2 linked regions of the Macaca mulatta genome follow. The protein of the gene in region 1 purifies or fractionates together with the protein of each later gene. This does not show direct contact. Links are inferred from orthologs where the notes say so. Each region holds a gene or a part of one and is shown in the gene's direction. Other genes may lie near its edges. The genes, in order: GLS and SIRT5.

The links.
Region 2: the proteins of GLS (region 1) and SIRT5 purify together in Homo sapiens (affinity purification with western blotting; 3 studies listed by BioGRID and IntAct, with this or other methods). This does not show direct contact. The link is inferred for Macaca mulatta from reciprocal best matches to the Homo sapiens genes GLS and SIRT5.

What each region holds. Positions count from the first base shown.
Region 1 is NC_133417.1:95,919,324-95,923,861, forward strand, and holds the start of GLS (glutaminase kidney isoform, mitochondrial), read left to right. Parts: upstream 1-1,613; 5' UTR 1,614-1,857; coding exon 1,858-2,243; intron 2,244-4,538. UniProt on the Homo sapiens protein: Catalyzes the first reaction in the primary pathway for the renal catabolism of glutamine. Plays a role in maintaining acid-base homeostasis. Regulates the levels of the neurotransmitter glutamate, the main excitatory neurotransmitter in the brain.
Region 2 is NC_133409.1:169,519,749-169,523,559, reverse strand, and holds part of SIRT5 (NAD-dependent protein deacylase sirtuin-5, mitochondrial), read left to right. Parts: intron 1-1,854; coding exon 1,855-1,942; intron 1,943-3,296; coding exon 3,297-3,350; intron 3,351-3,811. UniProt on the Homo sapiens protein: NAD-dependent lysine demalonylase, desuccinylase and deglutarylase that specifically removes malonyl, succinyl and glutaryl groups on target proteins.

The sequences.
Region 1 (4,538 bases):
CTTTTTTTTTTTTTTTAATAAAAAAGGTGACTATGTTTTACACATGATAGTTTTTTCCATGTTCTTCTGGTTAAACAGCAGATAGAAAAAAAAAAAAAAAAAACTTAAAACACAGCAAGGCTGTAACATGCCAAAGGTCAACATAACCTGTGGGTACAGCCAGATTTCCTAATTATTAATCTATTAAAATATTTTACAGTTCATTAGATTACTAAATCCGGTGATCAATTAATGACGCACCTGACATACACCTTCTAGTTTCATAAAATCATCTCATTAGGCTGGGCGCGGTGGCTCACGCCTGTAATCCCAGCAATTTGGGAGGCTCAGGGGGTGCGGATCCCTCAAAACCAGCCTGGGCAACCTCGCGAAACCCCATCTCTACAAAAAAAAAAAAAAAAAAAAAAAAATTAGCAGGTGGTGGCTGAGGTGGGAGGATCACCGGGGCCCCTGAGTTCAAGGCTGCATTGAGCCGTGATCACGCCACTGCACTCCAGCCTGGGCGACAGAGTGAGACCCTTTCTCAAAAGGCACACACACGACACAATAACGACACACCAACCCCCAAAACATCTTACTAAACTCCGTGGATCTACGCCTTTTAAACCTAATTGTTTCAGGAAATCGTCTAAAAACATTTTTTTGTCCTGGAATGGAATGTGTATGTAGGCTCAGGGAACAACTCAGTTTATCAGGTTCTTGGCTCTTTCTCCACAGGTCCAAAAGGATAAATGGATAAAGTGATGCTGAAATAACTTAGAGAACCCGTATTCCAACGCTTCTATTTTAAAAACAGTGAAGCAGTTTTTAAAATAGAAAAGTATCTACAATTTTGCTTTCAAGCAAACTAGCGTTAACGGAGTCATTGCTATTCAAAACTATTTTTGAAGTATCGGTGTACATTTAAAAATTAATTTTTAAAAAGCTGTCGTTTTCTGGATTCCGCACCGCCCCCATTCGTCGTCCTCCCCCCACCTCCACCCTCCATTGGCTTAAGTCACATAGCTGAAAGGATTGTGCTCATTTTTTCCAAAACATTTCACGTCTGGGTAGTAGCCAATCATGGAAAGTTTCAAGCAAATGTTACATTTGGGAGAGGGATGAAGCTCGTCCGGGGCTGCTCTCGGAGGATTCGCAGATGCCCTGACCTGGGAGCCAGATGCGAGCTGGGACCGGTCAAGCTCCAACAGCTCGGCCAGACTCAGCCCCGCCAAACCTGCTGACCTCACAGCCCTCGGCTGCGGGGGCTCTCGCCCATGAGTCTCCCCAACAGCTCGAATCCCCGGAGCTGAGGAGCCCATCGCTTCACAAATGCGAGAACCCAGAGCCCCTAGTACCCAACTAGGCTAGCCTCGGAGTTGGCACCGCGCGCGGAAAGCGGCTACTGAGGAGCCGGGCCTGGCTCAGCCGCTGCACACGTCAGTTTGACTCCTCTCCCCGCTCCCCACCAATCCCCCGCCCTACTCTCCGCGCACCCAGAGCCGAGAGAAATTTGACTGCCCTAATCGCCAATCAAAAGAGAGGTCGAGGATTTCAGCCAATCGGAACGGGCAAAGGGGGCGGGTCGTCGGCGAGAGCCGAATGTCTCTAGCCCTCCCCTGCGCTTTAGCCTCAGTGCAGAGCCTTAGGCGGTGTGAGGAGAACCGGTCGCGGCGAACCTAGGGACCAGCAGCAGCAGGAGCAGCAGCAGCAGCACCCGCATCCGCTGCGGGAGTCCGAGCCAGAACCACACCCACGTCGCTGCCCTTTCCTCTTGTCATTTCACTGCCCCGCCACAGACCGCGTTCCCCGAGGAAAGCGGCAGCCCACGCCCGGAGCATCCTCCCCTGTTGAGCGGCCGCTGACGGACCCGGCGGTATGATGCGGCTGCGAGGCTCGGCGATGCTGCGGGACCTGCTCCTGCGGTCGCCAGCCGGCGTGAGCGCGACTCTGCGGCGGGCACAGCCCCTGGTCACCCTGTGCCGGCGTCCCCGAAGCGGGGGACGGCCGGCCGCGGGCCCAGCTGCCGCCGCGCGACTCCACCCGTGGTGGGGCGGGGGCGGCTGGCCGGCGGGGCCCCTTGTGCGGGGCCTGTCCAGCTCTCCCTCGGAGATCTTGCAGGAGCTGGGCAAGGGGAGCACGCATCCGCAGTCCGGGGTGTCGCCACCCGCTGCCCCGGCGGCGCCCGGCCCCAAGGACAGCCCCGGGGAGACGGACGCGTTTGGCAACAGCGAGGGCAAAGAGCTGGTGGCCTCAGGTGAAAAGTGAGTGTCTCCGCGAGGCGCAGGAGGCCTCATTCCGCTCGGGGCCCAGGCTCGGGGTGTGTGGGGACCTGCGGTGGGGCGGGATAGGAACCGAGGTTCTAGAAAAGAGAAAGAAAGAGGTGCCGGGCGGCCTGCGCCGTCTGCGCCATGTGATTAGGCCCGGCCCCGCCCGAGCCTTCCCCGCCCGCGTCTCTCCGCCAGGCTCCCACTTCCCTTCTCCGCCCCCGGCGGGGGTCGCCCGGGTGGGGCCGCGGTGGGGCCTGATGGGCTCGCCTGGCGTCCTAGCGCAAGAGAGGCCGCTCCCCTGCCCGCGCCGCGTGCTCAGCTCCCTGGCTCGCGGCTGCAGCGCCTGGCCGCCCGCCCCAGCCGTTCGTGGGCGATGCCGCACGAACATCTCCACCGAGTGACATTCAGGAGTTGGGCTTTCAGCAGAGCCTTTACCTTCCTGACTTGTCGCCTTTCCTGGCTCGTTTCCGCTTTGCCTGCCCTCCCTTGGTTTCTGCCATCATCCCGTTGGAAACCAGATGTGACAGAGAGCTCTTTATATTTCTGAAGTGGCTACATCAGGCACGTGTAGAGCCATCTGGGGCACCGGAAACAATGTTTCAGAAGTGAGATTAGGAGGAATCGGGTTATGTGGCCGAGAAGATGGGGCACACAGTATAGACCACCTGTTTGCATTAGGGACCAGCTTTGGCCTGTCAGGTCTTCCGTGAGATGGGGAGATTTTTAGAAATAAAAGTTAAATAGCCAAGATGAAATGTGACATAATACACTAACTCAGTGAAAAATCTGAGTTAAGTAGGTTTTGTGACTTAGTTGTGATAGGATGTTGACTCATCCTGTATGTGTACAGCGCAGTAGTTTAGTCTTAAAGCAAAATTGGTTTTTCTTAATATGCAAAGCAGTCTCCTAAATATTTTAGTCTTATGTAATACAAATGGACCACTTTGTTTTCCGAAAATGGGTAAAAATTTACCGGCCTGCTTTCATTATACCTGTTTTTCTGGCTTTGTACGCTGACACTCTAACCTGTTTTGCTTCCCTTTTATTTCTGCTGCTATTTCCAGCTCTAGAGTTCCAGCTCTAGAGTCAAACTGAAAGTGAGAACATTCTTATAATTTCAATCTCACGCCTGCTTGATGTTTTCCTGTAATTGAAGTTGGGACCTTCCAAAAACTTTCGTGAAGTTCTTCTCCTATACTGAAAAAGATTATTTGAAAAAAGCACTTGATGAAGGGCGAAATTTGTGGTATTTTGTGATGTTGGTTTTGTGCCACGAAATAGCGTCCTGAGCATGGACAAGTTATTTAATATCTTAGGTTAGATGACTTAAATCCTTTCAAGTTCTGAAAAGCTATACTCCTGTTAAATTTGTACTTCTCTCATGTTTTAGGGACTAGTATGATACTTAATCTTATCTGGGACTCACTTTAACATCATCGGGTTTACCAAGCAAGTAACGAGTTTACATACAAGTGCCCAAGTTACAGAATTGCAAAATGCAGTCACTACCATTTAAAAGTTAATCTTAAAGGCTACAGGATGGGAACTGCTTTCTAGTAAAATTATGTCTTCAGGTCTGTGTCTCTGCAGTGGCTCTAGTGCCTCTCCTTTTTCCCACTTGTCAAATAGGAAATTGAGCTTCTTCTGTGATTTACTTGTCCAGAAGTTTCTAGTTTCATTGCCTTCTTAATACAAGTCACCTTTTAGCAATGGCCTCAAGGTTGTGAAGAAAGTATTTTAATTGGTTAAAGTTTCTATTTCCTGGATGATCTGGTTTCCAAATGTAGCTTTCCTCTTTTGGCTCCTTTCATTTTGCCTTTATGTGACAAACATTTCTCTTATCCTGGGAGATAAGCTCCCAGTTGATCCTGTTATCCTTTCTAATGCTTAGCCTCCAAAGCATAGGTCATCCCTCAATCAGCAGTCCACCTGGTATGCTAGCACTCACTCAGGACTGTGCCAGATTTTATGTAGTATTATTAAGAAATAACCATGAGAAAATTAAATTAACATTTTGTAAAAGGCTTAGAACAGTATTTGGCGTGTGTTAAATGACACATAACTATTTATTAAATAAATGAGAAAAAATTTCTGCTTCATTTTTGTAAAGCCTGTTAAAGAGATTGACCTTTGAATTTCAGGCTTGCACATGAAGGTTTTTAATGTTTTTAGTTTCCATAAAAATGTTTATCTTGAGAAATTGCTATACATCTGTCTTATATGAAACTACGTGAGTTGCACTGTTTACCTTTTGCTCTGTTGATAAATAAGTTCAGAGTAACTTTGATG
Region 2 (3,811 bases), on another chromosome or scaffold:
TTAAATAAGATCATATATGTGTGTTAGGACTTTTTTTAGTTTCAAATGATGAGAACTCTCTTCTAACTTAGGTTAAAAAAAAATCAATGGCATCTTCAGTCTGATGAAGGGTGTTTTAAGATGCATCGTGTTTTTAATGTGGCATTTAGAATATAGTCTGCCTAAACCATGATATACTATTTTATTATCCCTTAGAATTGTTATTTTATACTTAGAGAGCTTGTTAAAATGAGTATAATAAACTGGTCCAAATATTTCTCATTATCTAGCTCTTCTGAATTCTGAGTGTCTCAGAGCATGGATGTCTGTGTTTTCCATGCAGTTTCATGCTCTGTGCCTCAGGACATGGATGATGCGGCCTTTCCAGAGAGAATGCCCCTCTGTTAGAGCTGCGATTCTCGTGCAAGCTCCTGGCATACCTTCCGCAGGTTCGCTATTGGGCCTGACATACTCTTACCAAGAGGCCATCAGTGGAAAGGCTGTAGACAACAGCCAAAACCCGCTTTCCTTCCTGAAGCGGCCCTTGAATGGTTTGTTGGTGGAAGGATCCAGGGGCTGAATCTGCCTGGTCAGGCCATGGAGAATAACAACCAAGTCACCCCACTTTTCAGTGTTCTCCTTCAGCAAGTCTGTGCAAGCATGATGGTGATGTCACACTCACATCTGGCTAGTAGCAATTGCAGGACACATCTGAATTTCAGAGATGTGAAAATGGGGAAAAACGTCTATACTAAAACTGACAAAACCGAGGAGCCTGGGGGTGCAGCTTGTGTCATCTTTCCTCCTGGCCCCTGGCCCCCTCCTTCTCTCAGCTTTACTCACTCTTTGAGGTGGCCTCCCTTCTCCCTCTGCAATTGATCTGCCTCCACGTGCCAGGGGAGAGTGCCTCCGACAGCTCCAGGCTCTCCAGCTCAGCCACCGGCTCAGAAAATAAACCTCTGGGTGGGCTTGCTTGGTCCACATGCCCACCCTTCTGACCAAACATGACTGCAGAGGGATGGGCCCCACATGGGGGCCGTGTGGAGCATGTGGCCGAACTTGTATTTGGGATGTGACCCACAGCTCTATTGGCTCAGCACGCGAGAGAGCAGGGATGGTGGTCCCGAAGGAAGGACTCGGGGGCAGAACGGAGCAGCGCATGTCCACCGTGGTTGAAAGTGCTCTGCATGGTACCAGGTGCCTAGTACCCATTTCATAAACTCTGGCCCCCTTCAGCTCAATAAGTAGTCATTAGTATTAACAATTACTTTTTTCACTTAGTAGTTGATTACTTATTTATTGAGGTGCTTTTGTATAAAAGATTGAAGCTTTCTGAAATCAAAGTTAAGATTTTGTAAACATATCCCATGCCGTTGAACCTTTATCAGTCATATCAATAAATCATGCCCTCAGATTTACGTTGAGCTCCCTCTACCCTATTGGCCACTTCTGCCCACTTGAACACCACTCCAAGGTCATCTGACGGCACGTTAGTCATGGAGTTAGTTATTTTTCCTCCAGATTATAAAGTCCTTGAGGGCATATGTTCTTGACTGGCTTAAGAGTACTGCATGCCTCTGTTTCCCATGAAAGCTAGGGTAGGCCCATTTGCTAAAATGAAGTATGGCTCAGTGTGGCGGTGCACACCTATAGTCCCAGCTGCTCAGGAGGCAAAGGTAGGAGGATCGCTCGAGCCCAGGAGTTGGAAGCTGCAGTGAGCTATGATCGTACTACTATACTCCAGCCGGGGTAACTGGGTGAGACCAGAAAATGAAATGAAGTGTGGAAAGTGAAGTATCTTACACCCTTTCAGATGTGGAGATGATTGCTCTTGATTAGACTAAATTCTGGATTTCCTTCATATGTATTTTTCAGGTAGCTTATTTAAAACTCGATGTACCTCTTGTGGCGTTGTGGCTGAGAATTACAAGAGTCCAATTTGTCCAGCTTTATCAGGAAAAGGGTAATTATACCACACTACAGAATAAGTATATGTTGTTTTCTCCTTTAGGTCGGACATAAATGTGAGGAAATTGAACATTCATCAAAGATTCCCATTGATATGAGAAATAAGACTAAATACAAGGCTGGGTGCGGTGGCTCATGCCTGTAATCCCAGCACTTTGGGGTTACAAGGTGGGAAGATTGCTTGAGTTCAGGAGTTCAAGATCAGCCTGGGCAACATAGTGAGAAACCTGTCTCTACAAAAAAAAAAAAAAAAATTAGCTGGGTATGGTGGCACATGCCTGTAGTCCCAGCTACTAGAGAGGCTGAAGTGGGAGGGTTATTTGAACCTGGGAAGTCGAGGCTGCAGTGAGCTGAGATCATGCCACCGCACCACAGCCTGGGTGACAGGGAGACCCTGTCTCAAAAAAAAAAAAAAACAAATATAGCCTTGTGATAAAAGAAATATTTTGCTCACAACTTACAGTGTTAAGTGAAAACCACAGGGTCCTGAATTTATACACACATGAGTTTGTATAACTGCATATAGTTAAAAGACCAGAAGAAAATATAACAAAATATTAACAAGGAATATCAGGAGTGGAGGGATTATGGGTAATTTTTAATTTCTTCTTTATATCTTTCTGAATTTTCCTACATTTCTATGATGAACAAGCACTATTATTACAATAAGGGAAACATTTGAGGGTAGACACAATATTGAGGAAAATTCCATTTCAAAACAGTATAAATTATACAAGGAATGTATAATGTCATTGCAGAGGATACAAATGATGATGATGTATAAAGGTAAACATGAAGTTCCCTCTTAGCACACCCAGCTACTCCAGCCCTCCCTACACAGGAATTCTCTCACTGGCAGTACAACCACTGGTGATTTTTTTTTTTTTTTTTTCTGAGACAGAGTCTTGCTCTGTTTCCCAGGCTGGAGTACAGTGGCACAATCACACCTTACTGCAGCCTCCAACTCCTGGGCTCAAGCAATCCTCCTGCCTTAGCCTCCCAAGTAGCTAGGACTATAGGCACACACCACACTGAGCTAATTTTTGTATTTCTAGTAGAAATGCAGTCTCACTATATTGCCCAGGCTGGTCTTGATCTTCTGGCCTCAAGCAGTCCTCCCACTCTGGCCTCACCAAATGCTGGGATTATAGGCATGAGCCACTATGCCCAGTACCACTGGTAATTAATGGCCTGGGGTCCTTCCTTCTAATGCCCTTCCAAGTGAGCATGTATTAATTAGGAGTTTTACACCACATACTACCAGGCAAATATACAAACTGAGTTATGTTGTTTCTTTATTTTTTATTATGCCAATAACAATCTTTCTTTTCTAATATTATTTGCTTCAGTGCTCCAGAACCTGGAACTCAAGATGCCAGCATCCCAGTTGAGAAACTTCCCCGGTGGGTAAAAAGCTCTGATTTGTACCAGTGTTCCTGGTTACAAAAAAAATAGACATCAAAATCTAAACATGTATTTGGCAAGATGCCTCTTAAATCAAATGCACAAATGTGAAAACTAGCCTTGACCTCTAAGACCAAAAGTGAAAGGACAAAGGATGAACCAAAGTAGGATGAAAAAAATGATTTCTTTCCAACCCCTTTTTGCTTTGTGTTCTGGCGGGATCATTTCAGGTCGGGAAAGTTTCTGAAGCTGTTGTGTGACAGGTGGTTACCCAGTGTACAGAAAGCATATGGGCTGACCTATAACTGGTCAAATAACATCACTGGCATTATTAATCCATGGTTAAGGAGGCAATGAATAAGGAGGCAATGAAAGGACGTGAATAGGAGAGGTTACAGGACCCAACAGAATGTTCATAGATAAAAAAAAAAAAAAAAAAAAGGAAGATTTTGATGCCAAT